Linked DNA regions of Struthio camelus. The protein of the gene in region 2 interacts with the protein of the main gene of each other region in a biochemical or structural test. Links are inferred from orthologs where the notes say so. Each region holds a gene or a part of one and is shown on either strand. Other genes may lie near its edges. The genes, in order: ATP2B4, DLG1, FRMPD4 and NET1.

Evidence for each region.
Region 1: the proteins of DLG1 (region 2) and ATP2B4 form a complex in vitro, tested with the Homo sapiens proteins (2 studies listed by BioGRID and IntAct, with this or other methods). The link is inferred for Struthio camelus from reciprocal best matches to the Homo sapiens genes DLG1 and ATP2B4.
Region 3: the proteins of DLG1 (region 2) and FRMPD4 interact in a test that uses a peptide from one of them, tested with the Homo sapiens proteins (2 studies listed by IntAct, with this or other methods). The link is inferred for Struthio camelus from reciprocal best matches to the Homo sapiens genes DLG1 and FRMPD4.
Region 4: the proteins of DLG1 (region 2) and NET1 form a complex in vitro, tested with the Homo sapiens proteins (3 studies listed by BioGRID and IntAct, with this or other methods). The link is inferred for Struthio camelus from reciprocal best matches to the Homo sapiens genes DLG1 and NET1.

What each region holds. Positions count from the first base shown.
Region 1 is NC_090965.1:6,586,449-6,593,606, forward strand, and holds the start of ATP2B4 (plasma membrane calcium-transporting ATPase 4), read left to right. Parts: upstream 1-4,148; 5' UTR 4,149-4,295; intron 4,296-7,158. UniProt on the Homo sapiens protein: Calcium/calmodulin-regulated and magnesium-dependent enzyme that catalyzes the hydrolysis of ATP coupled with the transport of calcium out of the cell. By regulating sperm cell calcium homeostasis, may play a role in sperm motility.
Region 2 is NC_090950.1:18,055,522-18,063,311, reverse strand, and holds the start of DLG1 (disks large homolog 1), read left to right. Parts: upstream 1-4,783; 5' UTR 4,784-4,834; coding exon 4,835-4,853; intron 4,854-5,017; coding exon 5,018-5,149; intron 5,150-7,790. UniProt on the Homo sapiens protein: Essential multidomain scaffolding protein required for normal development. Recruits channels, receptors and signaling molecules to discrete plasma membrane domains in polarized cells.
Region 3 is NC_090942.1:141,381,805-141,389,797, reverse strand, and holds the start of FRMPD4 (FERM and PDZ domain-containing protein 4), read left to right. Parts: upstream 1-4,993; 5' UTR 4,994-5,494; coding exon 5,495-5,535; intron 5,536-7,993. UniProt on the Homo sapiens protein: Positive regulator of dendritic spine morphogenesis and density. Required for the maintenance of excitatory synaptic transmission. Binds phosphatidylinositol 4,5-bisphosphate.
Region 4 is NC_090942.1:2,273,226-2,280,459, reverse strand, and holds the start of NET1 (neuroepithelial cell-transforming gene 1 protein), read left to right. Parts: upstream 1-4,224; 5' UTR 4,225-4,351; coding exon 4,352-4,488; intron 4,489-7,234. UniProt on the Homo sapiens protein: Acts as a guanine nucleotide exchange factor (GEF) for RhoA GTPase. May be involved in activation of the SAPK/JNK pathway Stimulates genotoxic stress-induced RHOB activity in breast cancer cells leading to their cell death.

The DNA.
Region 1 (7,158 bases), on a different chromosome or scaffold from region 2:
AGTCAGTCCAGTGTCTCCGTTGTAAACCCTGGGGGGGTCCGATTCTGCCCTCGGCTCTCCGGCACGGTGCAAAAAGCTTCTCCGTTGACTCCCGCGGAGCGACGCTGGGTCTGTACCGGCGGAGATGAGATCCGGATCTGGCCCTGGGTTTTGAATGGGTTCATAACGTGACTGATAACAACTTGGCTGATCCAATTCATTTTGGGCTAAAACTCCACCGACAAGTTCCCAGCCTGGGAGACGTTAAAGACAAATCATGATGAAGTTTGGTACTCTTCTTAAAGGGAAATCATCGGTTAAGCCCAGTTCTTAAAGAAGACCGATCTTGGTCTGGTTGACCGATCTTTCCCCTTTCGGGGGTATTTTTTTACGCTGCTGGCCGAAGCTCCGGGCAGGAAACGCGCGGCGCTCCCTGCGGCCGGCTCCCAGCTCCACGCACGGGGCCGGAGCCGGAGCGGGAGAAAAGGGAACAAACCGAATACCCAGCCAGGGTCCGAGGCTAGCGAGGGGGCCAAAGGCACAAGCACGAAGCAGCGGAGCAGCCCTGCGGAGACCTGCCCGCGGGAGCCCAGCGTCCCCTGCCCTGCCGGCCTTGCCCGGGCGGCGCGCGCCTGCGGGTCGGCCCTCCGGGACGCGGCGGCGGCGCGCTGCGAGCGCGGCTGAGCATCCGCAAACCGCCGCAGCCGCTCGCCCTGCCCGCGCGGCTCCCGCTCCGCTGCGGATGTTGACTTTCCTCCGTGCGCTTTTCCTTACGTGTGACATGGAAGGGGCTTTTAGACCGACTGTTTATGGCTGCTCCAGACGTAATGGAAACACGGCGGGCAGGAGCTGCTAAGTACTAGGACTGTAATTGCAGGCTGCCACTGGATGGGAAGCACATTTCGAAGCGGCTTTTTGGCCGCTTCCTTCAGTGAGAAGCGCGGAGCACCCAGGCTGGGAAGATCTGCCTTTCCCAATTTCAGCTGAAGCCCAAGGAGGCTGCAAATTCTCGACATTTCTGCAAATGCGAACTGCCCTCTGTTAACAACAGGTTCCCTCAGGCAGGAGGCCTTATTTCCTTTCAGGAGTCCAAATCCAGATGGTCAGAGATTCCTTCCAAGCTCAGAAAAGCTGTTTTAAAAGGCTATTATGCCTCAATAGCCCTTTTTGCATCCCAGACCATTGGAAATGCCGTCTGCCGTCTGTTCCTCCCTGTATTTTTCGAGCCTTCTCCAGTCACCCAGACAAACGGTGGTCTCTGCAAGCCGCCTTTTATTTGGGGGGTGGGGGAGCAGGACGCCGCCTGAAACCGGCCTGTTTGTTCCCGCTTTTGGCTTTGCAGCGGGAGGGGAGGCAGTGCTCAGCCCCCTGCCTGCACCCCCCTGCAGAGAGCACGAGCAGGCTGATACCCTCTGTGTTGCAAACTATTGAAAGGAAAGAGATGCTTTAATTAAGAGTTGCGCTGGCAGCTCTGACGACTTTTAGTCGACTCCAGATAACTAGCACAGGTTTGCTTCAGCTTCCAGCAGCGGCTCAGAGCAGCGCCCAGCCGTGCACCCAGCACCAGAGTCCCTCTTTGCCAAGCAACAGGAAAAACAACCAGGCAGGATGCGTGGGATACGCCACGCTCAGCGGCCCTGCAGGCGCCTCGGTGCAGGGAGGGAGAAATCCCCGCGAGGGTCCACAGCGGGGCTTTGCACCGCCACCATCAGCTCTCCGAGCCAGACGGAGCCACCTCGCTGAAAGCCGAACGGACGCGTTCTTACCAGCGCCTTTCGATTAGCAGGCGGAGGAATTCCTGCAAAAGGGCCTGGAAGCGTTTGCTGGGTGCTGGGCGGCAGGGCCTTGGCTCTCCCGGTGCTCCTGTGCGAGGAAGTCGTCTTCTGCGGCCCCCCCGGGCCGGCGCAGGAATGCAAAGTAATGGAGGTGCAGGCCCTCGAGGAGGGGAAAAAAAAAAACGTTACAAACACTAATTAGGGCTTGTGCGTGCACAGATGTTACACTGGTTTAACTTGAACCAGGTTGCAAGCCCAAACGTAGGGATAGAAACAGGATTAACCCTAATTTAAGGTTGCCAACACCCAAATGTTGCACCAGTCTTGTTGCACCCGTGCAATAGTGCAGCTTTCAGTCTGACTGCAGCATTTCATATGCTTCTAAAAAATGTGGGGGTGGTCGGGTTGGCCTGCGTGAAAGGGTGGTTATTTATGCTCCAATCCTGTGCAACTCAAAAAATGCACATACCCCCTGCCCCCTCAAATGACACAGTCACCCAAGGGGTGCCCAAGAGCTCTGCCTCGTGCTTTGCAGGGCCGCTGACACCCCCCTGGGCACTTGCTGGCTCCGCACGGGCAAACCCCAGCACCCACGAGGAGGCACCCCGACTTTGCCGTGCGTCGACTTTGGGTGCTCTAGAGGCGATCAGCTGGAGCGAGGAGGGTCCTGTACAGGAGTGCACCGACCCTGCTTGGGTACCCCCACTGGCCCGGGGGGGTCCACGCTGCTCAGGGGTGCATGCACCTTGCTGCCTTGGGGAGGGTCCCACCTCCCCACCCCACCCAGGGTGCAGGCACTGCAGTGCATTGGGAAGGGTCCCACACAGGCTGGGGGTGTCCGCACTGCCCTGCGGGGCCTGCACCACCTGAGGGTGCATGCCCAGCACTGCCTGGAGGGGGGGTACCCTTATCACCTTGGGGGTGCATGAAGCACACTACCTTGGTGGGGTACGTGCCACTGCTCAGGTGTGCATGCCCTGCAATGACATGAGGGGTCAATAGTGCTTGGGGGTGTGCATGCACCACACTGCCTTGGTGGGGTGCATGCTGCTCGGGGGTGCATGCCCTGCACTGATCTGGGAGGGGTCAATAGTGCTTGGGGGTGCATGCACTACACTACCTTGGTGGGGTGCATGCTGTTTGGTGGTGCATACTGCTCGGGGGTGCATGCCCTGCACTGATCTGGGGGGGGGTCAATAGTGCTTGGGGGTGCATGCACTACACTACCTTGGTGGGGTGCATGCTGTTTGGTGGTGCATACTGCTCGGGGGTGCATGCCCTGCACTGATCTGGGGGAGGGGGGTCAATAGTGCTTGGGGATGTGCATGCACTACACTACCTTGGTGGGGTGCATGCTGTTTGGTGGTGCATACTGCTCAGGGGTGCATGCCCTGCACTGATCTGGGGGGGGTCAATAGTGCTTGGGGGTGCATGCACTACACTACCTTGGTGGGGTGCATGCTGTTTGGTGGTGCATACTGCTCGGGGGTGCATGCCCTGCACTGATCTGGGAGGGGTCAATAGTGCTTGGGGGTGCATGCACTACACTACCTTGGTGGGGTGCATGCTGTTTGGTGGTGCATACTGCTCAGGGGTGCATGCCCTGCACTGATCTGGGGGGGGTCAATAGTGCTTGGGGGTGCATGCACTACACTACCTTGGTGGGGTGCATGCTGTTTGGTGGTGCATACTGCTCGGGGGTGCATGCCCTGCACTGATCTGGGAGGGGTCAATAGTGCTTGGGGGTGCATGCACTACACTACCTTGGTGGGGTGCATGCTGTTTGGTGGTGCATACTGCTCAGGGGTGCATGCCCTGCACTGATCTGGGGGGGGTCAATAGTGCTTGGGGGTGCATGCACTACACTACCTTGGTGGGGTGCATGCTGTTTGGTGGTGCATACTGCTCGGGGGTGCATGCCCTGCACTGATCTGGGGGAGGGGGGTCAATAGTGCTTGGGGATGTGCATGCACCACACTACCTTGGTGGGGTGCATGCCGCTTGGGGGTGCATGTCCTGCACTGATCTGGGGGGGGTCAATAGTGCTTGGGGGTGCATGCACCACACTACCTTGGTGGGGTGCATGCTGTTTGGGGGGTGCATGCCCTGCACTGACCTGGGGGAGGGGTCAACAGGGCTCAGTAGTGCTTGGGGATGTGCATGCACCGCACTGCCTTGGTGGGGTGCATGCTGCTCGGGGGTGCATGCACGGCACTAACCCGAGGGGTCGATACCGCCGGGGGGGTGCATGCCCTGCACTGACCTGGGGGGAACCCGCAGCACTTGGCGGTGCATGCACCGTCCCGTCCCGTCCCCCTTAACGGCCGGCGGGGCGAGCCGCCACCTTAAGAGAGTCCCGCCCCCGGCGGCGGGGACCCGCCCCGGCCCGGCCCGGCCCGGCCCGGCTCGGCGCGGGTTGCCATGACAAGCAGTTTCTCCCGCTAGCGCCGGAGCTGCCGCCGCCCTCCTCCTCCTCTTCCTCCGCCGCCCCATGGCCGCCCGCGGGGGCTCCGCCGCCAGCCGGGCCGCGGCGCCGCGCCGGTGAGTGCGGGGCGGTGCAAGGGGGGGGGGGAGGCGCTGCCCCGACCCGGGCCGCCCCGCCGGGAGCGGGCGAGTCCCGGGGCTTCCCCCCCCCCCACCCCAACCCCGGGGCAGAGGTGCCCGGGCGGCTCCCCGCCGTGTCAGCCGCTCTCCCGCGGGGCAGGGGCTAGCCGTCGGGGCGCTGCGGGGGCGAGCGGGTGGCGGGGTGCCCCGGCTGGCCGCGGCCCAGTGCGCAGACGGGGAGGGCAGCCGGGGCGCTGCAGGGCGCGCCGGGGCGAGGCTGCGCTGCGCTGCGCTGCGCTGCGGCGGGGTTCAGCCGCTGGCAGGGAGGCGTGTGCGAGCAGCGGCGTGCTGCAGGTGGGATGCGACCCCCCCCCCCCCCACCTCCTCAGCCGGCTGGGTTGGGGGGCACGGGGAAGGCGGGCGGAGACGTGCCCGAGGGCGCAGTCTGCAGCGGTGCCGGCGCCGGGCGCATCCGGCAGCAGCAGCAGCAGGTGGGAGGCAGCGGTGAGGGTCGCGCTGGGGGCGTTGCATCCTCGCCGCCGCAGGGGACCTGCGACTTGCGGCCCGCCCTCGGGGGACGCGGCGCCGAGGAGCTAGCCGTGCTCGGCGCTGTCGGGGGGGCAGCGCTGCCTGGCCTGGCCTGGCCGCGGAGGCGGGAGGCGAGCGCTGCGGCTCGGGCGCCGTCTCCGCGCTGCCGTCGTGCCGCTGCCCGGAGCTGCAGCTGGGCACCGAAGGGAAGGGCAGGCGCTGCGACGGGGGGGGGGTGCGTGTGCGAGTGTGGAGGAGGGGGAGTTACTTGCGGCAGCCCAAGGACAGGCTGGGGGAGGAAAGGTGTTTGCAAGGTTGGCTCTTGCGTTTCCCTAGGGGGGCAGGCGCCCGCCTGGAGCGCAGGGAGGCTGCCGGCCCCGGCGGGGCGGGGGAGCCGGATCCGGCCGTCGGTCGCGCTGGGAGCGCAGCGCCCGGGCACCGCACCGCGCCGCACCGCGCCAGGCGCGTCCCCCCTGCTGCCTGCACCAATCTGCCCGGGCAAATGCACAGCGGGGGGGGGGGGGGAGAAGAAACCAACCCCCCCCCCCCCCAAAAAAAAAAAACCCCAAAAAGCAACGAAGCGCTGGCGCACACGGCTAGCGGACGGGGGCCCTTGGCCGCTGCCCGCGCCCTAGGCCGGTCGGCAGCGCTGCGCCCCGTCGAGCATCTGCTTTGAATCCGCCCGGGGGGACCTGGGTGCCCGGGCTGGGGGCGGGGGGTCCCACCTCGGCCCCCCTGCGCCCGAGGGGGCCGCGCAGACCCTGGGCGCAGGGTGGTCCCTCCCTGTGCGGCCGGAGGTAAGCCTGGAGCTTGAAAGGGGGAGGGAGGGACAATAGGTTATTGTCCTCTTATCTCTGGAGAGCTGAGGTCGGGTGGGGGGGAGGGTGGGGGTCGGGTTGCCGAGCTCAAAGCAGCGCAGCCTGTTCCTGCCTGGCGGGACGGGACGGGACGGGGCGGAAGCCAGCGGCCCTCGGGGCTGCCGACCGACGAGGGGCCCCGCGTCCCCGAGGGGGCCCACCCGCTCCGGCGCGCCGCCCTTGCCTCTGCCTGGCTCCCGCCGGTGCCCTCAATCTTTTGCTTCCTTGAGCAAACTGAGATGCACCTGAATTATTTAGCCACGAGCGAGAGGAGCTGACGCCCCCCGCGCTCCTCCCGTCCTGGCCGCCCCGGTCCCCGGGGAAGCCCAGCCGTCCCCACCGGTGGCGGTGGCGTGGGACTGGCGCTGGCAGGGCCACCTGGCCCGGCCGCCCCGGGGAACGGAGCACCGAGCGCGCTCTGGGTGAATGAACGGGAAGAGTTGGGTGGTCCTGGAGGCCTCCCGAACGCTGCGTGCCCTTCGGTTCCCCAAAGCCCGTTCAAAGCAGTGGACTGTGTGCTTGGGTGTAAGATTTTTGCTGTTGTTGTTGTTCTTGTTTGTTTTTTCATTTCTGTTTCTTCTCCCTGCCCAGTGCCCGGCCAACCGTGCCGGTGTCGAGGCGCGACGGAGGAAGCGCCCGTGCTGGCTGCGTTCCCGCCGCCTGAGCGGAGCGAGGCAGCGCCCGGCCGCGGCAGCGCGCGGGTAGCCGAGAGCCCGCTGCAGAGCCACGCCGCGCCGCCCGGGGTTGCGGGTGCCGCGCTGGGAGCGGCTCCTCCCGAGGAGGCTGGAGGGACCTCTGGAAAGCGTTGGCTCCCTCCCGGAGGGGGGGAAAGGAGTTTCTGGCCCTGGGGAGGTGGTGCAAGCGCTGCAAGTAGTGGCTGGAGAGGGCAAAGGGTGCTTTTCTGGGTGCTTTTCTTTTTTTTTTTTTGGAATGGCAGGAGATGGTGCTAGAGGGAATTCCCCGTGCTGGCTCGCAGCCGTCGAGGTGCGCCCAGCCCGCCCCGGCTCCTGCAGCGCGCCGTGCACCCTCGCCGTTAGCGTGCAGCAAGGCGCAGCCCCGCGCCGGTGCGCGAGCAGCTGGGACCTGCTGCCACGAGGCCTCGCTGGCGCTGGCAGCGGCTCCCGGAGAGGCAGAGCAGGGCCGTAGCGGGGCACCGGCCCTCGGGCAGGGTGAGTAAGAGCGGGAGGGACAGGACGGGGGCGAGCCTCGGGCTCTGCCATTGTTTTGCAGCAGAAAGAAGCAGGGTGGAGCTGCAGACGGGAGTTCCCCCCCACGCGCCCCGAGGCGCTGGGGAAGCGGCCGCCTGGGAGCGGAGCCCGCGCCTCGCTCCACCCGCGGCGCCCTGCACGCTCCCCGCTAGGCCACGAGCGGAGTTTGCCGGCTGGGCAGCGCCTGCGCCGTCCGGGAAACTCCCCGCCGCAGGAGCCCCCGGGGGGTCGCGAGGGGCTGGGGCCGCGCGGAGCCCGGCGCTGAGC
Region 2 (7,790 bases):
CATGTTCATCTACTGGTCACTCTCAGCTGGAAGAACAAAGGAGTCACTGGATCCTTGTATTTAGATCCAGTTCCAACTATCTGAGAGAAATTTCAGTTACGAGGACAAACAGTGGATCACAGACGTATCATATAAACTCACAATGGAGTTCACAAATTAAACATACAAAGCTTGTGTTCCTGGGGAAACTCTCTTCTCTCTGTAAGATTAAAATCAAAGAATCAGAGATGCGTAAGATGATCCCATAAGAGTTCTATTGAGTAAGATTAACTAAATAAGCTAAATTCTGATTTTAATAAAATTCTGATTTTAGTAACTGGAATAATTTCAGGTCATTTAAGGGCACTGAGGACACAGTGTATTGACTTGTGTGTGTGATAAACAACAGCTCATTTTACCCACAACGACAAAGACAATAGAAAGGAGTGAGCTGGTATTTTGACTGATCACTAAGTCTACATGACAGGATCACAGCTCTTTGGGTTCTGTGACACGGTAATTACAGAATATAATGAAAAAAGTAGCTTTAATCTTTAGTAGCCTCATGAAAATTGGTTACATCTGGTAACTTTTGCAAGAAAAAGACATGCTACCATGTTGTGCTTTCACTTAAGCAGGACTTTCCCATAAGAAGTTGTCTGCATCTGTTTTAACCCACACAATTACAGCTGATTAAAAAAAGACACTCTCTCAGCGCCCAGCTCCTGGAAGCTAAGGCTGCGGCACACCATCCAATCTTATCAGACATTAGAGAATCTAGACGAGGTGAGGCATAATAAGCTAACTTCCTTCAGACTTCATTCCTTATTAGCCAGAGGAAATTAGGCTTCATTACTTTCATTGCTCCCCCAGTTAGCTGTGCAACATTGCATTGAGCTGCAAGGGAAGTGAAGTGAAAGCTTTCTGCAGCTGTCAGAGATCCTTTTATGAGTAACAATTCCCAGTTCTGCATGAAAAAGTGAAATCATCTGTGCCGTATGCTTATATGGAGACTGCTTTTAGTCTGTAGGCATTAAGCAGATGACAAACATAAGATATACAAACGATTAACTTTCTTATTTTCAAGTTTTTTCATTAGTAACCCCAATATCAAAAACACCTGAGTTTACAGCAGTTCTTTTTGCCGAAGTTACCGATTCTGGCAATATGCCAGCTTATGCACTCGTGTCCAACTTGAAATAAATAATTGTACCATTATTTAGTTAGTTAGTTTACCTCACCTTCTACTCTAATGCCCATCCTCCCTAAACAGAGTTCATCTGAGCTCATGTTTTCTGGGACATACTGGTTATTGCAAACTGCTGCAATGTGGTGACATCCGTTGTCCTCTTTGTCCTGTTTTCTAGATGGCCTTTGCTGTGTTGATTGCTGCAGCGTGTGTGGATCTAGCTAATGTTTCTTGAAGTCTCCTGATCTAAGCTTGTCGTACCTAACCAGCTACTGCGTGTGGTGCCGGGGCAAGCCAGATTTACTTACATTCCCATCCTGAGTGGTCTACGCGGCCATCAACATGTTCCAGTGGGACTCAAGGCTAACAGGGTAAGAAGTTGGAAAGCGCCCCCTGTCCCCGCACAGTGAGGTGCCAGCTATGCAGGTGTGTGGAATGGCACAAAGAGCCATTTCCAAAGCAGCTTCTGGCAGCGAGTCTGCCCGAGGAGCGAGTGCGCAGGCAGGTACAAACCCCCGGCTCGGGTCACTGCTGTGATCATTTTCAGAGCAGGTACCTACCAACAAGCTCTGACAGTTTCTCAAAATGAGAAAACATTGTCTCTGTTTAATTATGGGTTTGTCAACAGGGTTTACTAGCCTCCTGCACACAGCCTGCACACAGCCTGCTTTTCCCTTCGTGCATGGATTGTGTGGGCTAGGATCAAGTTATGAATATTTCTCCACATCTGGGCAATACACTCGTGTTGTGTCTGCCTCCTGGCTGTCCCAAGCTGCCTGCTCTCGCACAGATATGCCCCAAAGCACAATCTCCTTGAATGAGTGGAGCAATGCATGCCTTGTGGCAAGTCTCCTGCCCTTGCCAAAGGTTCGGTCCCAGACAGAGGGTCCCACACAGGCTGCTGACAGCAGTTGCAAAAGAAGGATTTTAATGGCGGAGGAGAGGAGCTGTCTGTCAGATCCCCGGCTGCTAATGTGGGCAAGAAGGCTAGAGGGGAGGCAGACACTGCTTCTTGGCTTAGTTCTGCTGGAGTTCTTATCCCAAGGGTCGCTCTGGACTCCAGCCAAGATACGTTGCGCTCAGCATAAAGCTGACTTGTATGCTGACCACATCAGTCACAAATTAAGCACAAGCCTTTCTGTATGCTGCCTGTAATTGTTTAATTTAAATTATATTGCTTAAACCGTGGCATAAATGATGGTCTGGTTCGTATTGAGTTTTCCCCCCTCTCCAAGGGAACTACCCAATTTTCTGAAAACTGGAGCCTGAAAAATAAGACGTGTAATAGAGGGCAGCTTTATAATACAGGCTCTTACTGTAATGTGCAAATATAAGCGTAGTCATTCATTCACGGGATATTTTCTATGTATGCTAGGTGCTCAAAACCACTTTGTATACTGAAGTTTAGTACTGTGCAACCTGGTTCAACCACTTTCAGCCAACAAATATACTCCTAGAACTGAAACAGAAGTGCCGGGAACCAACACCACTCTCTGAGGTGCAATAAGGTTCACCTAATTGCTTCCTGGCTTGCTGATCCATCATCCTGACCCTGTCTTTGATGTGTGTTTTTCTTCCCAGAGCATTAGTAACAAGCGATAAATACTGTTTCAAGGTGCTGTATGGGGTTATTTCCCCATTCCCAGCACAATGAGTATATATTTGGGGTTATCTTTTATTTAAAATAAAAAGCCTTGGAAACATCAAATCCTGCTTATGAAAGAGTAGTTTGTTTCTTATGCTGGTACCTTTAATTGCAAAAATTTTCTTTTTTTTCCTCTATAACAATACTTTTCTGTCGCTCAGCAAACCACCCTAACTGCTGCAGATGTCTTTCTGCTAGCTAAATTTAGGCTGTTCTTCCTCTCCCTCTGTATACATTTCCCTGACATCAAGAGGACTACGGCCCCTTTAAAGTACATTTATTGCTGCTGTAAACAGTGGAAACTGAAGAGGCCAAACAATGAAAGCCTCTGCCAGTGCTCCTTCTTGACACGTTTTCCTTTAAAAATACATGTGAACTGGTAAAATTTCGTGCCAAAACTCTGAAAGTATGAAAATATGACAAGAAAGGAGGAAAGTGGGAAATGTGTGTCAGTATACATTAAATGTATATTATAATGTGTTTTCTTCAATAAGGTATGTGAACAATTTCACAGTACATAGCTGCGGGGGGAGGAGAAACTGCTAGTGCAAATCTAACTAGGAAACATGGGAGTATTGGAGAATGCAAGAGAGGCCTTTCCCAGATCTGGGTTAGATTTGTTGCAGGGTAAGTTTTCCCTATTTTAAGATTAGGACCACAGCCAAATCTGGTCCTGATTTCCAGACTGATCTTTTCAAATTTGCATGAGTTTTCCAGATGTTTTTTAGCTACCTGGTTTAAGCTCTTGTACATTTTCAGCTGTATCTAAATCCAAAAAAAAAAAAAAAAAAGCGTAAAGAGAGATGCAAGCCTGGATCAAAAATCACATCAGCGGGATTTGCTTTGAACTTCTCAGCATCTGCCTCTCCTACGCACACACACGGAGTTTGCGGTTTTTCAGAGCCGAGGTTTTTCTGCTTGAGCTTCCACCGGCCCGAGAAACGAGTAACCCCTGGCCGAGACAGGCACTGGAATTACCTCCAATCAGCGTTACTACGTGTGCGTTTGCCCCGTTAACGGGTATATCGATATCGCTGCAGGGATCGTTTACGTGGCGCATGTTTCTGACCGCGTCGCTCGGGGCTCGTTCCGTCTGCTGTCTCTCCCCCGTCACAGCAAGAACCTGTTTGCGCCTCCTTTGAGGGCGCCTCAGCGCAACAGGTAGACGCCGGTGAGCAGCGCCGGGCCGGGCCGCCCGGGAGCCGCCGCCCGCAGCGCTAACTAACGGCTGCCTCGGCCGGCCTCTGCGGGCTGCTCCCCGCGGCCGGTACCGGGGCATCGCCAAACTTCCCCGTGCGCCCCGCTCGCTGCGGGAGCGGGCGCGACCCGCCGGGGAGCCCCGCACCTGGGGGGGGCGGCGGGCACCGCGCCGCGGTAACGGCCGCGCCGAGCCCCACCGACCCGCCGCGGGCTCGTCAGGCTGCCGCCGCAACGGGCGCTCCCGGAGCGGGGCGGGGCGGGGCGAGCCGGGGCGGGGCGGGGCCGGGTCCCATGGCCCGCGGGGCGGGGCGGGCGAGGCGGGGCCGGGCCGCAGTGCCCAGCGCCGGCCCCTTTAAGGCGGGCGGCGAGCGGCGAGCGCTCACCTTGCCTCCTCCTCCCCCCCCGCCTAGGTACCGGCCCCGAGCCGAGCTGTGCTCTGATTGGGCGGTCGCCGGGCCCGGTCACGTGGGGGGGTGCGCTCCCCATAGCCGCCAGGCCGCCATTTTGGCTGGAAAGTTTGGAATTTCCGAGCGGCGCGAGCGGGAGGCGGCGGCGGCGGCGGCGGCGCGAGCGGCCGTGAGCCCAGCCCAGCGCGGCCCGGCCCGGCCCTCCCCTCCCCGCCTCTCTCGCGAGGCGCCGCGCCGCGGCGGGCGCGGGCGGGAGCCCCCCGCGGAGCCGCTCGCCGGTCGGTCGGGCAGGGAGGCAGGCGGGGCCGGCGCCGCGGCCGCCTCCGCCCGGCCGGCAGGGGGGGCCGCGCCCCCCCCCCCCCCCCCACGCTGCGCCGCGCCGGGCTCAAAGTTTGTGAGGCGGCCGGGAGCGCCATGCCCGTCCGGAAACAAGGTGAGCGGCGGTGGCGGCGGGACGGGCGCGGAGGGCGGCTGCCGGCGGGGGCGAGGCCGCGCTCTCGGGGCCGCCGACAAAGAAGCGGCCGGGCCGGGGCGGCGCGGAGGGCGGCGGCGGGTGCTGGCGGCGCGCGGTGACCTGTGGCCGCTCTCCGCCCGCAGACACGCAGCGCGCCCTGCGCCTCCTGGAGGAGTACCGCGCCAAGCTGAGCACGGCGGAGGACCGGCAGCTGCGGAGCTCCATCGAGCGCGTCATTAGCATCTTCCAGAGTAACCTCTTCCAGGCGCTCATAGGTAACGGCTGGCTCCTCTCGCCTTGTGGGCGTGCAGGCGGCGTTGGCGTTGACTCGCCCCTGCCGGGAACTCGGCGCTGTGGTGGAAGCCGGGTGCTTTTTCTCATTGTGTTGTTGTTTTGCATAGTAACGCACGTGCTGTTACAGATCAGCGGTTCGTTTGCTTTAAACAACTTGCCTTGCTCTTTTGACTGGCCCGATCTGCTTAAAGCTCTGCAGTCTGGTGCCGTTGTTTCTTCTGGGACGTGCCGCTCTAGACTCCTTAACGCAAGCTGTTTCTCCACTTACATCTTTTATCTGCCTGAACGATGTATAGCAGTGTTCTTTCCTGTGCGTCGTTATGTCACAGGTTAGTGAATGAGTTGAAGTAGTTTTACTCTAAAGTAGAATTTGGGCAAATGTTCCTGGTCTAAAAACGTCCCAAAGTTTATATTTGGAGTGCAGGGCTAACTTAAAGTGAATGAGAAGAAAATTCAAATCTTTTGGGGAAGGCTACCGTTTTCTCTTTCACAACACTAGCAGTAAATGAAGGAAGACATTACTGATTCTTAGTGTAGCGTACTTGTAGTGCTTATTCACTGAAAATGTTCACATAAGTCTCGTTGAAGTACTTGTAGGTAGTTTTGACTTACTTGCACATACACCTGCTTGGAAAAAAAAACGGAGCATGACTATAACTTGTAGAATCTTGACTTTGTTTTGAAACTTTTACGGGGAAGTGTTAACTTAAAGATAATGACACCTAATCAACGAGAAACTGTGTGTCAGCTAAAGAGTAAATGTTTTACTCTTTAGAGTAAACTAACAAAACTCTTAAAGTTCATTATCCTTGTCTTTTAGTAAATGGAGTAATTAATCTGTATCTGACTTCTGTAGAAACAAACATTCTAGCTAGCATGAGTTTACTTTTGTTACTTGGCATTTACATAACTTGTTGCATGTTTAAAGTATCAGATGAGTGTGCATGTCACTTCATAGTACTGACTTCTTTGAGTCTAAATTGTGTTGGTAACATGGGGACAGGCAAAAAACATAAACATGCGTTGCTGCATTTGGAATGTTTTGTTTGGAGCATTTCTTTATTCTCGTGTAGTTTTTCAGAGGATAGTCACCTTGCTGTGTTTTTGTGAGATAAGTTATTGAAAGCTAGTTGTGAAAACAGGTCAGTTCAAGAAATCTTGTACTTCAGAAGTGTTACGTGTTTCTCTTCAACAGTCAGTTGATGGTAGCTACTCCATGGTGAAAAACTAGTCTAACCTTTGTGGGATGTGTTTAAATAAGATTCACTGGTGGATCAACATGCTGAAGTCTTGCGTTAGAAGCTTGAAGTGCTGCAGTCAGGCTTTTTATTTTCATCCTGGAAATTTTCAGTGTTGGTTGCCATTTCTTCTTCATTGTCTTGAGGATCCATGAAGTACTATGTGTTTTCTCCCATTCATTGAGCAAGATACTGGTCTATTTACATAGCATTAGCCTTTCATATTGTAACCTGTAACACGTGCTTTCTTATATCCACATAAGAATTCTCATCAGCTCTGTGCTTAGCAGTAAACTTTGCAACCGCATATTTGCTGGCTTCTTTCTGCAAGAACAGAAAACGGGAATGGTGGTGTTGCCTGGGTGGACTATGTAGCCTTTTCCTCATCTTATAAGAAGTTGCATGTTGCAACCATTTGACCCCAGTTTTTCTCTGGTGTGGTTAATCTGTGCATGCACAATAGGTATATGCTTCTTTGCATTTACAGATTGATTGAGCATACACACATACACTCCATAACAAGAAATCATTCAAACTATTTCTCTGAAAGATGGTAGCACAGAAGACTTGCTTTCTAAGCATTTTATGCTCTCAACCTCAGTCTTTCTCCTTTTACTCCCCCCGCCCCCATGGAAATACATCACGGGAGTTCTTGGTAGTGACAGGCTATTGTTATTCCTGGAAACATCTTTGTGGTGTGACTACTGCATGATGGGGTGAGGAGCAGGTTGGAGCAGTGGGGACTCCCTGGAAAAGATGGTGTCTGGAGGATGGCTGCAGTTACTGTGAAGATCTTCAGCCTGCTCTTGCCTGCCCTCTTTCCTTGGACAATTGGGAGCAGGCTGGATAAAGGTTTTGGTTGTGCTGCACGTTAGATTTCCCTGGAATACAGCATTTTTCATTACTTCATAGTTGATTCTTAAGTACAACTCTTCAAGGAGTTGGGATGTGTCTGCAAATTAAACATCCAAGGCTGCTTTGACAGCAAGATGCAAGCTCAGCTATGAAGTTACTTCTCATATAGATACTTATTCTGGAAAGCAAGCTACTTCTAGTTTCTGAATTTTTAGAAGAATAATAGTAAAATCAAAACACCCTAATCATTTGTCCCCTCTCTCTTTCTTCCGAGTTGATGTATTGAGAGTTGCCTGTCAATGATAGGTGAGGATGTTTGTGAAGGCTGCAGTCAGTATCTGCTGTCAGCTTCATGCGTCCTTTTTAGTACCCCAGTGTAATAATGCCTGGTACTCTCAATTAAATGACTACTCGGGCCTTTGATTAAAATCAGCATGAGAAGTAGTATTAGTTTTAAGTCCTGTTGTATACTCTCAGAATTATGGTATCTTTTCTAGCTTATATTTTCTTGATTGTAGTTAAAATAATT
Region 3 (7,993 bases), on a different chromosome or scaffold from region 2:
GAATCCTTTTTTATGAAGACCTGTCTATTTTAAAAGAACTGATGCTTTAGTATTGTCTTATTCATTGAAGCAGAAAATATTACTGTCTTTATTTTGGCTAAGGTCCCATTCCTTAACTTAGTTTTGTCTGTGTGTTGCAACATATGAAAGCAATTTTTTTAATATCAGGTTCAACATGCTGTAAGACTTTTCAGTTCATAACAGCAACCAGTAGTTTTTGTTCACTATCTCTTTGAAATAACCTGCTGGTGTAGCTTTAACTGTGTGTGCCTCGCTTCAGAAAAATGGTTGCACCAGTTGTGGAATCCTTGCTTATCTTGTTCCATGCAATGCAATGTCTTTTAGGCTGCTGTTTAATAAACAGCATAATGCTGAAATGTACTAACTTTACCATCCTCTGGACTTCTTTGTTTCCTAAATGGCAACAAATAAAATAATCTTATCTGCTATTATTTAAATTTTCAATTATTTATGATTTAATTTTGACTTTCTGTGTGATATCACATCTACTGCACTAAATTATGTAACAAAAATGAAACCTTTAGAGCTTAACAGTTTGCATGAGTCATTAAAAAAATTATGCCTGATAAAACTCTATTCAATAAAACTGCCAAAACTGATGTGTAGAAGCTGGGTGTATAGATTCCAGGAGAGCAGAAAGACTTCCTGATAAGGCTGTAAATGCAGACACAGAGAAAATCTGTAACTGTTACAGTATTTTCATATAGACACGTATACTGTATGGATAATAACCACTGGGATAAACAAATCATTTCTAAAAAGATCCATGTTTTGAAGCTTCAAAGCTGAAAAAATGAATATAATGGTTTGAAATACAAGTAGATCAGAAAACTACTACAGAACGTACTGGCGTTGCACAGTCATAAACAATTATCTCTATCAATAACATTCAGTAAGTACCAGACTACAATGTCAAAATGGTATCTTTCCTTGAAACTTCAGGTTTCGATAGCAGCTCTGTACTAACATCTCATTAACCAATGGCTTTTTTTATCACACTCCTTTAAACATTTATGCCATTTGGATATGAATAATATCATCAAGCACTATGAAAAAAATCATGGAACCTTCAGTTGTTATCTCAGGAAATAAATTATCATTATAACCTGATGAGTTAAAAGCCATCCTAAAGGTGAAATACAGTGCTTTTAAGTATCTCTTTGAGATTCCAAATCACTAAAAAAAAAAAAGACTAGTCTTAAAAAAATTGTAGAGGTAGATTTTTAACTGAGAGGAAAATTTTTGAGACCTCCAAAAGTATTAAAATGAATAAGTGGACTTCAGTCATTTCCAGAGGTTTCATTTTATGTCTTTGGTGTGAGATTTTACCTGACGTCCTTTAAATTATCTAGGATCAAATCGTACTGAAGCAAATGTAGTAAAATGAACATTACTGGTGAAGCTGCAGGGCTAAAAAAGTTTGTGCAGTATGGTAGCCAGGAGAGTCCAACTCATATTTTTCTTTGAGCATTCAGTACCTCCGAATGAAGAAAGAAAAATCCCAAAAATACAGCAACACACAAACAAACGGCTTTTGATCTCATTCATAAAGATATTTACATCCCATCTTCACAGCATTTTCCCTAGGACCCAAGGAATTTAGATGTCTGAAAAAATTAATAGTTTTTAGAGTGATTTAATTAGTTTTATGTTATTAATAGTATGCCAAAACATTCCTACATACATTACGTCTGTCACTTTCTTTAGAACAAAGAGCATTATAAAATAAGGCAGACTCCCTTTTCTATAAATGAAACTATAGGTGAAACTGCCATACTACATGAAATTATGGCTTTTACTGGCCCATGATCTACAGTAGGATATCTATGATTACAGAAAACATTAGTATTAAGTGTCCTAATTGAATTACTTCAGCCAAAAGTAATAAAAAGGTCATAGTATACCATAACAAAGCATCCTCAAAAATAGAGACTTAGAATTCTACTCTAAAAAAAAAAACATTCAGTCAGGAATTGATGTCAAATTCCTGGTTTAAGATTAGGAACTTCATGTTCAATTATTGTTTGTTACTGAGATACTAAATACACGTTGTTCTGCTGTCTTGAGCTGTCTGTTCTCATTCAGAGTTTACATGTACCTTTGTCACCCACAAATGGGTTTTATCTGACCTAAATTTAGGCATCTAGAAGACAGGCCTCTAGTCAAAGGTAGGAACCTAGGGCCTCCTCTCCACTGGAGTTGACAGAGAAAATAGAGCATCTCCAAAGGGCAATTCATGTCACTTTTTTTAGAATGAGATGTGTTGGAGTGATAGGTGCCTGTCCGCCACAGAGACAGGGAATGACTAACTGAGGCTGGAACCCCGATTTTTGGTAGTTAGTGAGAAGAATCCCACACCAGTGACAAAAAAAGTACATATGTTTGCAAGAGTTCAGTCATGGCATTGTCTAGTTGACATATCCTGCAAAGGAAGGCATAATACCAAAATATGATCATTTACAGATGATAGCTCCAAAACCAGTTCAAACTACATGTATTAATTGATGTTTACTCATGAAACAGACAGAACAACGTCCTCCACCTTGCTTCTCCGGGTTGGCAGGTTCTATCATTTTCCTACAGCTGAGATAGCTTTATACATGGTTGCTGTGACACCAGAGCCCAAAGAACCATGAACTGAAGTGTTGTGATTGATATTCCAATCTCCACCCCCACGCGTGTTTCCCACCTAGCACAGATCCAGAAAGCTTCCAGTATTTAGCACAGTTGGAACAAGTATACTTGTTTGGGTTCTCTGCTCATGTCTGCACATCTGGGAATAAGACTCCTGTGATTTTGCTACTAATGGATCTCCAGGGTATCGGCTGTCCCAACAGTATCTCCACAGCCATTCTGGACAATTTGTACGGTTGCAACGATTTCCACTCAGGAAAACAAAAATATCAAAGTAATTATAATCATAGCAATAGTTCATCTATCTCTTTGGAATGCCAAGGCAAGAGAGAAAAATAATTTCAGTTCAGCTTCGAATTGTAATGACTTTCTGTTAAGCCCAGTCATTTTGGGTACTGCATCCTCTGTTTATCACACTGATACATTTATAAACAGCAGTCTTTTCATCCCTAGTCTTTGTTTTGCTAGGCTAAGCTCTTTCAGCCTCTTCTCGTAAGGCACACTTCGCTACCTTTAACATTTTTAGTATTTTCCTGCACCTGCTTTCATTTTTCTCAAACACACTTCCTGAATGAGCTGAGTACAGCATTTCTGGTCAGATCTTATGCTGTCCGCTTTTCTGTCTCTACTGGAAATACCTCAGTCGATGCATCCTAGGATCATATTTGCCGTTTCACCAGAAGACCTTGAAAGTATAGAAATGCTACAGAACCCTTAAAACATCTTCACTTCTCTGGCTCTCACTCCTACGCTTTGAGGCACCATTGTGTGTTAGGCCTTGGAATGTAAAGTACTTAAGATAGGGGACCTTGTTTATACAGAGCATATGTGCCTAATTTTATATATGGTATATCATTTCATCAGCATCAGTTTGCTTTGTAGGATCTTGGCCTATCTCCTTAGTCTATAAATAAATAATGACAGTTTTATAAATAACGCAGTTTCTAACCAGCTGAAACTGTGTTATTTTTGTAACTTTTGTCAATCAATAGAGCAATGTGAATGACAGGCAAAGGTTCTGCCGTTTTAAAAAATCTGGTATAACAATAAATAAATATAGTTGCACGTAAGACCCACATAAATATTTTGATGTACTAGCATAAAGTACTTCATACAGTATTTCAGAATATGCACAAAGCATTTACATCTATGGTAGGTCTGCAAGTGTTTTTAGCTGGCTGTTTAATGTTCTCCAAGTGTAAATAGATAATCAATCATTCTTTGTTATTGTTTTAAAGAATAGTTTGAAACTTGATGCACAGTGAGTGTTCGTACTGCCTGTTCTTTTTGTTCCCTTATCAATAAAAGCTTTAATATTAAAAAAATTGCATTGTTTTCTTCTAGCTGCTAGAGTCTACATATTGGCCTCTATTGTCATTTCTGAAATTTTTGGTTGCTGAGACAGTTTAGGTGCAAGCCTCCAAAGGAGACAGAAACTGTGGGAAGTAAAGAGCGTATGAATCTGTTTAGCAAATGAAGACACATATAAACACACTTTATTGTGAAGAGGAGAATATGCATTCCCATGCTGAGAATTATTGTACCGTAGTGTAGAGCTTCGAAGCACATCTATATGTGAAAACGAATTTGAATTTCTCCAAGCTCCTGTCCTGCTCACTCACAGGAAGCTTACGGACAGCAGTTAAACTCCAGTCCCTATTTTGAAGCTTTATGCAGGGCAAAAGCACAAGAAAACATTGTCTCCTTGTGTTCTTGTGAACGTCAGGACGTCAGCTACACCATTTTCCCACAGAACATGGGATGAGGAACGCTTAGCTATGTTGTCATGACTCAGCCTTGCAGCGCTCCTGTCACAACTAGGAGGACTCCTTTCCTCAAAATCTCTTACATGGCATGGATAAAGAAGCCACGGGATGGTGACAACCTCCTCTGGCGACAGCAGGGCAGTGAATTTGCCACCGTGTTGCCGGTCAGTGGTCCATGGTTGAGGAACATCTCAAGGAGGCCACCAGGGCTTCCCTCTGCCCCAGGGGGAAGTATGGCAGGACAGCGAGGCACGATCGCTGGGGAGAGATCCTCAGTGGTGGAAGAGGGCTGTCCGGTTCCCCCAACTTTTGCTTTCGGGATCTGGGCAGCAGGCTTCTAGCAAAGGACCAGGGTGCTTCTCCCCGGCTGGGGAGGGGCCTTCTCCCCCTCGCCGGGCCTGCCTGCCTGCCCGCCCGCCCCAACAGAGAGGAGCCTCCAGCCCGGCCTAGCTCCCCTCGGCGGCCGGCCAGGCCCCTCGGCCCGCTGCCGGCGGCCGCAGCGCCGCCTCGGGCGGGAGCCAACGGGCGGCGGGAGCCAACGGGCAGCCGCCGCCTGCGCGCTGCGCTCCCCCACAGGAGGGGGAGACATTGCCGGCGAGAGGAGAAACTCCCCCTCTCCACCTTGCTGATTGCCCCCCCTCCTCCCTCTCCCCCGCACCCCGCCGCTCTTCTCCGCCTTCCTCCAGCGGGGATACGGCAAAGAGGCAGCGGGCGGCGGAGCGCGGCCGCCTCCCTCTCAGCCTGCCGGTGCGCGGAGCGGCGGGCGCCCGGGCTGGCGGCCACACCGCCCTCCTCATGCCTTCGGTTACCCCGGGGAGGGGGCAGGGGAGGCAGCGCGAGAAGCGGGGGAGGGCTGCGCGCAGATGAATGCTGCTCCTGCGAGATGCTGCACGCCCAGCTCCCAGCCGGAGGCGGGTAGCAGCCTCCGCCGCCGGCTCCTGCCTTTGCAAGGGCTGTTGCTGCCACTGGACGCAACCTTCTCCCCGATATGGAGCTGCTGCTGCTGCTGCTGCCGCCACCGCTGCTGCTGGAGTGAGTGAGTGAGTGACGGGCAGAGCTGGCCGGCTGCATGGATGGATGTATTTAGCTTTGTGAAGATTGGGAAGCTCTCCGGGTAGGTGCTCGGCGCTGCCCGTGCCCGTGCCCGGCGGGGGCGGGAGGTTGCGGGGGGCTGCCGACCCCGGGGCGCTCAACTTCCCTGGCGCCGGGGCGGAGGTCTCGGGGTCGGGCTGCGGGTTTTCAGCGCTTGCCGCCCCGGCACCTGCGGAGGGTCACGCCGGTGGCTCTGTGTCGTTGGGTTGTTCCCCTCTGCCCCCATCTTAAAAGACAATAAACGTGGTCCCGCGGCTGGTGCTTCTTGCCGCGGCGCAGCTGGGGTTACCGGGAGCGCTGGCCGTGGTGAAACGGTCAGAGCAGAACTGTTTGGGAAACGCAGAAGCGGCGGCGAGAGCCGGGACCGGGCTGGGGCGGGTTGGGGAAGCAGGCGCTGCCTCCCTGAGGCCGCCGGCGGGTGAGGTGCGGGGGGCGGCGGTTAGCGGCGGTTAACGGTCGCCGAGGGCGCGCGCTGCCGGGGGTGGGGGCGGCGGCCAACTTGTGAGGGCGCGGGGCACCGCCTCGCGGCGGCGGCGGCTCCCTGCCCCGCGCCTCGGCCCTCCCGCCCCCCGACTCCGCGCCCGGCGATATTTTTAGAGAAGTGGTGAAATCATCGTCAGCTCTTTAAGCGCTGCCCCTCTGCCTCTTCGCATGATAGGTGCTGGGGAGCAAGCGGGTTTGGCGTCTGCCATCCCTCGCTGGCTAGGCATGCACTTTTTTGTTGCTGGAACGGGTGTGAGGCGTGGACTTTTTGTTGCTGAAATGGGTGTTTAATGAGGATGTCTTTCCCTTTTCGAATAAGTCTTCCTTTTAATAGCCTCCGAGTGCTGGTCTCTGTCTGCAGACTGTTGCGTTCGCAGCTAGTTGCCAGGCCTAAGGCTACGTAGATGGACAAAGAAGCGCAGTAGCCTCTATTAAAAATGTTTTCAGTGTAGGTAAACACAATTGGAGGTAACACGTCTCAATAACGTGGGAAATCACACTTTATCTCAAAGATACTGTATAAAAGTGCTCGAGTTGCAAGATTTTTCTTTTTTTCTTTTTCTGTGTGTGTGGATAATCCTCCTAAAGGATTTAGCTTTGATCACAGTAACTAGGAGTGTTCTGAATTCTTACGATTCAGTGCTTAGGACACCATAGTTACCATATCCATTTCTGTTTATGAAGCATAGACTGAAATTGGATGTTGTACAAAAAGGAGAAAGGCCTTGTTAAAGAAATACAAAAGGCAGCTTGCTTCAGTGACGTTCAGATAGGGAACTTGTCAAAATGACAGATGGTCTTTAAAAACAAATATTGCATGGCTGGAAGTTGTAGAATGCCACAGGTGCAAGCCTAGCCTTTATCCCCCAAATTTCCCACCATTGCACCTGGCTGTGATTACAGCTCCACTTGTGGCAATGCCTGCGCAGAACAGCTGCTGTCATTCAAGTACATCATTGTCTCATCCTGCTCAGAGCAATTTTACATGATGTGACGGCTAAAACACTAGTGGCCTGCTCAGCTTTCTTTGATTCGTGTTTCCAGCTGATGCCACTAGAGCTGCAACAGCAGTAACTACAGTGGAAACTTCGAGGAGAGGGAAAATATGCTAGCATAGATAAGGAGCAGGTCATGTAGTATGATTTTTTTTTTCCAGATATATTGAATTGCTGGGCTGCTTCTATTTATTTAAGAGCAGAGTTTTAAAGCCCCCCATCCCCTCAAACCTTCATGTTTCATATTTGTCACGCCTGAGTTAAAATCAAAGGGAGAGAAAGGGATGTGCTGTATGGAAATATTATTAAGTCAGGAACATGGGAGTTTTTAGATCTATTTTAAGATTCAATCTTAAATATTTTTTTGGTATGTACACTATCTGTTGACTTTCCACAGCCTCAAAGATGCAGATGTTACCATTCCTGAGATTTGTATTTAGATAAAGGCAAATCATAGTATTTCACTGGAAAACCTGAAAATTCTTTCTGCAATTAAATCACAAGTTTCAAGGCTTGTATCAAGCTTCATTTGATTCAAGGATATGAAGTTTGTGTATTCAGGGACTGAGTTCATCTTCTAGACTGCAGTAAATCATTTCTGTACCGAGCTACTCTTTTTGTTTCTGAATTTCTGGTTGTTAAATGACCATAATAGTTTACATGGGACTTTACTTTGCTGTTTCCTAGGTAACAGCTAGGTATCTGTTCCAATTTTATGAGCACTTCGTGGAGCAGCCACGTTCCAGTATAAACCCCATTTTTAATCCCTCTATAAGTCTGGGTTGAAAAACTAGTTTGCCTGGAAATGCTGATTCTTCCCTTGCTGTTAGAAGGAAGATTTTTTTTTTTAAAGAAAGATAGGATAAATGGATCTTGACTGAGAGTGTGATCTTTCAGGCAGATTACATGCATAAAGTTGTTGAGCGCTTGGCTGCTACTGAATATTTTTAAGCCTTTCAGTCATTTTTTTTTTTTAATTTGCTGTGAGTTCGGAGCTTCTCA
Region 4 (7,234 bases), on a different chromosome or scaffold from region 2:
GTGGCTGCGAACCACATGTATTATCTAGCCTAATGCTTACTGACTAACTGGAACATAAGGGCAATTTTCATGTAGTTTTACAGCACTTATTTTCTAGGATTTTAAAGATGAAAATATGAGACAGCTTTTTTTTTTTGTTTTAATGACTTGAAGTACTGATGGTGACATGCACCCTCATCATGTGCAATTTATGGCCTAAGGTTTTATGGCACCATAAACGTCTAAGCTGCCTCGAATCCTCCAGACGACTACTTTCAAAGTAGTGAAACTGCTTAAAGGAGCAACATTGCCAAGTGTAGAAAATTCTGCAAAATAACTCGACACTTTGAATCCTAAAAGAGATCGGTGTCAATGAAGCGTGCTTTAATCTTTGCCTAATTAAGTCTGCTTGTTTGAGAACCACAAGTCCTTAATGCATGTGTTACTAATCCCATGCCTAATCCAAAAAATCTTTCCAAAAGGCCATAGTCCTCACTAGACAGGCTATCCATTTAAGTCAATACAGTCATCACTACTCGTTGCGGAGAGCTGGGAGCAGAAAGCTTAGCAGGCAAAAGCCCTCCTTTGAATAAAGTCCTTTCTGGCCCCAAAGATGGAGCACGGAGCAAAGATCAAACTTACAATTTCTCCTGGAGCATTATGAGCTTCTGAAAATTCAGTGAAACTATTTTGCAACCTCTGTCAGCATTTGCTAGCAGGTAGATGCGGCAACATCAGCAGGAAGCCTCTGAGCAATTCCCTGAGTAATTCTAGCTGTGCACCACTCATGAGTTATCATGGATACTGTGTGTCCATAGTCTTTAGCTATTACTTGTCTTTGATACACACTGGACTGCCGGAGTCCGTTTCCAGTGGTGTAAAGAGCCTCGGACACTACTGAGGACTTGATGTAAAGTCAGGATCTGGCCCGAAGCAAGGCTGAGCTTCTGCCACAATGTCCTGCCCAGAAGGAAGCCTGGTAGTGCCAACCAACGTTGACCTTCATGTCTGTGTGTGAGACGATATCTTTACATAGCATCCTAAATCCACTTATGCTTATTAAAATTCCAGCTCTGGTGTGCATAAACTGCACAACCAGCAGTTATCAGGGCTACACAGGGCTGGTAAGTCTCATGTGTAAGCCAGGAGAAGACGACATTGGGTGAGGCTAGAGCGTCCAGCTGAAGGCTCTTGCTCACATGCTGATTAGCAGAGTAATGTACCCTACTGGCCCAGTGCTTGGCCTCAGCTGCCCAAGCAACTGTGATAATAAGTCGAGGCTTCCCTCGGGCATGATGACTCCAGTCTGATACGTACTGCCGTACAGTGGAGCAAGGGAGGAATGTGTTGGAGGCAGATCTCTTTAGTGTCACGTCACTGCTGGAGACTCCATGAGGAGGGTTTTTCTTGTGCAGCTTCTGCCTCCTCTGATGAAATTATTGCTGCTGCTACTGCCTCTTGGGTGGGAATTGAAACTGTGAACAGTTTTCTTTCATAGAGCTTCTTGGTTTTCTTCTTTCCTAGTCCTACGCAAGGGTTATGCATTTCTATCTCTAGGAGGCAGGCTGCTGGTATGCAGACAGACAATTCAGTACAGCCTCATACATGAGGTCCAACCACAAGGCATCGTTCCTATAACCAAGCAAATGAATAAGCTCCTCTGTATCATTCATTAGTGCGAGTGGACTGAGGAAGTAGCTGTCCAGAGCATCCACCTTGCCCCAGAGCCCACAGTCACTGGAGAAATACCAGAAACCGGTGGAAATCTAACGGAAGAAGGAACACAACCTCCTTCCCAAGAGACCTGAAAAGGGTCCCTTAGCTGGACTGGCTTCTCACATTTCCTAAATATTGGCAATAGGAGACCTGTGGCTCACAATGAGAGGTTCTTCACCAAGGCAGACCAACCTGGCGACCCTGTCCCTGGTGTCCCCATATCTAGATATGCTTCACCTTCATGACCTACGCACCTATAGTCTCAGCAGAGAAGGCCTGCCACAAGCCCTTTTCCATGCCATAGATCACCAGGGAATTCTTCACCTGGATTTAAAAGTCATCTGATAAGTCCATGGTCTGCTGCCTACTGTAGTGGGGGAAAACAGCGCCCAGGGACGTGACTGCGGCCATCGCAGAATGCAAAAAATAGGAGGTCCTGAAAGACCAGGAGCTCTTCAACACCAAGAGGACACACCAGTTTGTGGAGGGCTGCTACAGAAACCAGGGTCCCGCTAATCATGTGTTCAACGTGATGTACGTGAAACAGGCCTCTGTGACTGGTATGTGGTGTGGCATGACTGATGTGGAGCAGGGGAGGACTCCAGGGCAGAGGACAAAGCTGTAGAGGACTGTGAAGAAGGGAACAATTTGGCTGGTGGACACGAAGCGTACGATTGCCTATCAGTGACTATAAGCCAATATAAATGAAATACCGAGCGGGGCAACGCAATTCGCTGAACCGTTTAGGTTTGAACAAAAATAGAAACTTCACAGTTTTGTCACGTTAAGTCCACATTGGAATAGTACAAGCAGAATTAATTCTCCTAGCTTTGGCATAATATCAGTGCTAAGTCTGAGTATTCTGGCATAGCAAAATACTCTGCTGAGAGCAATCCTGGTGTATTGGGTACGCTTGCTCTTCTTCCCATCCCAATGGTACATTTCAAAATAGAAGTACATCTTCTTTCTAAAGCCTTCAAGTCTTTGTCTAGCAGATGGTTACGTTTAACCCTTTGGCAGCCTCCTGTAGTTCAGCTTAAAGGGAGGATATCTACTTTTTCTGAACCAAGCTGCAGGTTCTACTTCAAAAGTTAGGCTTTTTTTTTTTTTAATATCTCTGAAAAATCCATTTCTGATTTATTACTAAAATACAGCCAAGTCAGTGAAATGCCTTGTACATATGCAGGATTTTTTATGGGTTTCAAAGCATTTCATCCAACTGCTGTACAGAAGTTGAGACCAACCTGCGCTGAAACGAATATGATAAACTGTAAAGGGCCGTTCCAGCACGGCTGCCTGGGGTGCCAGCACCGATAAAGGGAGATTTTCTGCCAAAACTGTCTAGTCTACAGGCAGACTTGCGCTCCAGAGCGGGCACTCCCAATTTCTAAACGAGGGTAAGTCATGACCCTCCCTCTCTCCTAGGACCAGTCGAATCGTTATAAACTTTGGGGCTGCCACCACCGCATGAGGGGAGAAGCCCTGTCCCCTGCCAACAGCCACTAACCGCAGGGGGAGAAGGCTGAAACGGAGGAAAACTGAGATTTTGCCCAACGGGGCCACGTTTCCAACTAACAGCTGAGCGTGTCTGAACGCCTCGCTCAAAGTCCCACTTAACCCAAAGCGGAGCGGGAGGGATCCTGACGGCTTTTTAAGGCCGTTTTGGGGGGATTTTTTTGTTTTTTGGTTTTTTTTTGCGGGGGTGGGGGGCTTGCTAGCGAACATCCGCCTCGCCAAAGCATCTGCTTTTCCCCAGTGGGGTGAGAATTTAAGAGCCCCTCGTAAACCGTTTACGCGGCGGCTGCGCGCCGCCACGCCGAAAGGCCACCACGCACGAATCCCCCGCCCCGGCCGCCTCTCCCCGTGTCCGAGAGCGGAGACCCCCCCCCCTTCCCCTTCCTTCCTGAGCCCTACGATACAAATCCCCACTTTTTGTGTTTTCTTCAGCTCGGTGACTGTTCAGGGCACCTCCCGTTTCTTCCAGGGAGAGGGGGAAACCCCTGTGGAAGGCAGAAGGGAAAGGGGGGCAGCCCAGCTCCCTGAGGGGCCCTGGCCCCGGCTCACCCCGCGTCCGACCCTCTCGTACGTGCTTCGAGCCCATTTCTGAGGTACTTTTTCGTGACTCGAGGCGATTTCTGAGGTACATTTTTGAGATTTGAGGCCGGGGGCCGGGGGGGGGGGGGAAGGCCACCCTTCGGTGGCGTTGAGGGGACGAGGGCGCCGGCTCCGTGTTCGCTGAGGAGAAAAGGCTGAGGGGAAGGGTGGGGGGCAGGAGGAGACGGGGGGGCGAGGCCGGGGAGAGCCGGGCCGCCGCCGGGCACGACGGCTCCGTGCCTCAGTTTCCCTTCCCCCCCGCCGGGGTCCTCCTCAGGCGCCGCTGCAGCGCGGGGCACCAGGGGGCGCTGCGCTCTGCCGGGGCCGCCCAGCAGCCGCCCCTCCCGCCTCACAGCCGCGCCCCCCTCGCTTGTCCCGCCCCCCGCGTCTCCTAGCAACTCGCCCCTCCCGCGGCGCTGATTGGCCGCCGCCGCCGCCGCCGCCATTTTCAAACCCCCCGGTCGCTGCTTTCGCTGCTGTTGCCGCCGCCGCCATTATCCGCCGAGCGGTGCGGCCGGTGCCCGCTCCCTTCCCCGCTCTCGGCGCGACGTGTCGTGTCCTCATGGAGGCCGAGCCCGCGGGCCAGAAGCCCCCTCGGCGGAGACGGGGCAGGGTCAGTGCTGGGGCCCGCGCCAGCCGCTCGCCGCCGCCGGCGGACAGCACCCCCGGCGGGGCCGCCTCGGCCGCCTCCTGCAGCCGGTAGGAGCCGCGATCCCTCCCCGCCGCCGCGTCAGGGGCTGGAGCCCCGCCGATGGCCGCGGTGCTCCCTGTGTCCCTCGTGTATCTCAGAAGAGGGGACCCTGCTCCCTCCTGCCGTTTAAAGGAGGGGGAGCTCCTTGCCGGCCTGCCTTATAGAAGGGACTGTGCCTTCCCCCTATCTTATAAGAGGGGACCCCCCCCCTCCAGGCTGTAGGGGACCACTTACCCATTTCTCTTATAAGAGAGACCCACCCTTGCAGGCCATAGGGGACCCTTCATCCTCCTGCCTTTTAAAGGGGTGCTTCCCTCTGCTGACTATAGGGGACCTATTCCCCTCCTATTTTATAAGGAAGGGCCCCCTGCCTCCCTATTGTATAAGGGGACACCCTCTAGCCTGCAGGGGACTTCTTCCCCCCTCCTGTCTTATAAGGGGGTACTCTCTAGGCTGTAAGTCACCCCTTGCCATCCTATAAGGGGAACTTGTTTGTGGTTTAAGGGGATCCCTGTCAGCCCCATAAAGGGTGTGTGGAATCCCTTGCCTGTTCCTGTCCTGTAAGTGTATGTATAGAGGAGAGGGGTGATCTGCAGGCTGTAGGGGATCACCCTCTATGCCCCATCCCATAATGGGGAAGGTGGCCATTCCTCTCTCCATCCCTGGGTGCAAAACTACCCTGAGGCTTTCATGCAAAGACTTCCCTCCTCCCACCTTGCTCATGGGGGTATCCCCTGGGCTGCCTGCAGCCCCCACCTGTTTGGCAGAAAGAGGAGAGGGCCCTTGCTGCTTCCTAGGGTGGGCATCAGTGTGATTGGGGCCTAGGGTGTCCTCTCCCCTCTCCAATCGCTCTTATTGTGCTGCCACATGTCTGAGGGGATTGGGCTCCCCTTGTCACCCGTATCAGGTGCTGATCCCTAGGGGCCTCAGCTGGTGGGTCGGAGTGGGGAGCAGATGTCAGTAAAACTGGGAGCCTGAGGCTGCCTGGCAGGAAGGGCCAGAATGGGCAGGTTTCCCCCCTGGGTTGCCCATTGCCAGCTACCCCTGCTTGGTCCTCAGGATCTCTTTGGGCTGGAATGCCTGATCAGCTTATTCCCTTGAGGTGGGAAGACCTGTTTTGGCTCCAGGGTCTGCCCTGGCTTTTGCTCTGTTTAATTGCCTTGGTGTGCCATGTGTTATAGTTATTCTGATGTGTTTGTTGGACTTTGAGACCTTTCCCAAGACCACCCTGTGAAGGACACTGTCACTTCTTGAGTTAACCAGAAGCTCAGTTTGTGTTGACCCCAATAACAATACCTGGTTGTGTTTATAAGCAGATCCTGCCCTATCTGCAGTTGACCCCTGGATGACCCATCTCCTGCTGACTAACATCTAGACCAACCCAGGTTGATCAGAGGTGGCTTGTGTTTTCTGTTGCCCTTGGGGTTAGGAAATGACTTCTGCAATCATGCTGGTGGTGTGGAAAGTGCATTGCATTGTGAGGGAAGCACACTCCCAGCTCTGGAGATGGTGGACTTGGATATGTGGATGCCCTAAGCTGTTAAATTAGGATAGTGGTTGTCAGCTGGCTTAGGACAAGAGAAGAGAGCATATCTATAAAACTTCTGACTTATCACCGTTCCCCCTTACACAGAAATATACATTCCTCTGTTCTGTTTCCTCTGTGCGACTACAGTCTGCCTTCAGGTCCTCTAAGTGAAGCGATCTGTAGCGTACCAAAAAATTCTAAACCCTCAAGTTCTGGCAAAGGTGGCTCTGGCTGTGTCTCGCTGAACCCCGGTCTGTACCTCCAAATGCTGTGTGCAAGCTGCAGTTCGCCCCGAGATGCAATTGGGGTCCTTTCTTTACTGCCATAGTTCTTTGTACTGACTGGGGGATTGCAACCCTTTACAGCCCTGCCTGGAAGCTGCTTTTCACTACCTGGGTTATGTTGGCCAGAGATGCTCCTGCCTCTTCTCCAGCCTCATCTGTGCCCTGGAAATGGGTGGGAGAAAGGGGACTTGGGCAGTCCCTTGTTTTGAGACCTGGTGAAATTCCCCAGAGGCTGGAATGGGTGTTCTTTATTTGGCGGCCTAAATCAAAGCAAGTTAAACGTAAATGAGCTTGGCTTTCATAATGGCTGGCTTTAGTAAGCATGGTGCGTTCTGGATGGCAGAACGTTTTAATGAGCTTTAAAAACAAATGTTTTCATTGAAGCGTACTGCAGTATCATCTTGTAGTTCCATAATTAATGCAGTTGAAAAGCATAGTATAATTAAAGGCTTCAGTGGCTTGGTGAGGTGATGAAACATGTTGGCTGTTTGTAGGATAGTCGTGCATTCCTTTGTGAGGCTTGTCTGTGTGGAGAGGCCGGGCAAAATTACGATAAAACTGAAAGAAGTTGACACGGATAAGACATGTATGTATTAAACCTTCATCCGGAGACTTTCTCACAGGCAAATTGATGCCAGCTCAGCACCTAGATGTGATCTTGTGATGTAGGTAGAACAGTTCAAGAAGTCACTGACTCAAGATTTGTTTGTAGAATAGTAGAAAAGTTTAATTAGTGAGGGACTTCTGGAGATCTGTAGTCCAACCCTTGCTCAAAGCAACTTCAAAGTTAGGTCGGTTTGCTCACGGCCTTGTCGAGGCGAGCTTCAGATACCTCCAAGGATGCAGATTTTTCCATCTCTCTGGGTCCCTGTTCCAGAGTTTGACCACACTTATTTTGAAAAACTTCTTACTTATCTAATAAGAATTTTCCATGTTACAACT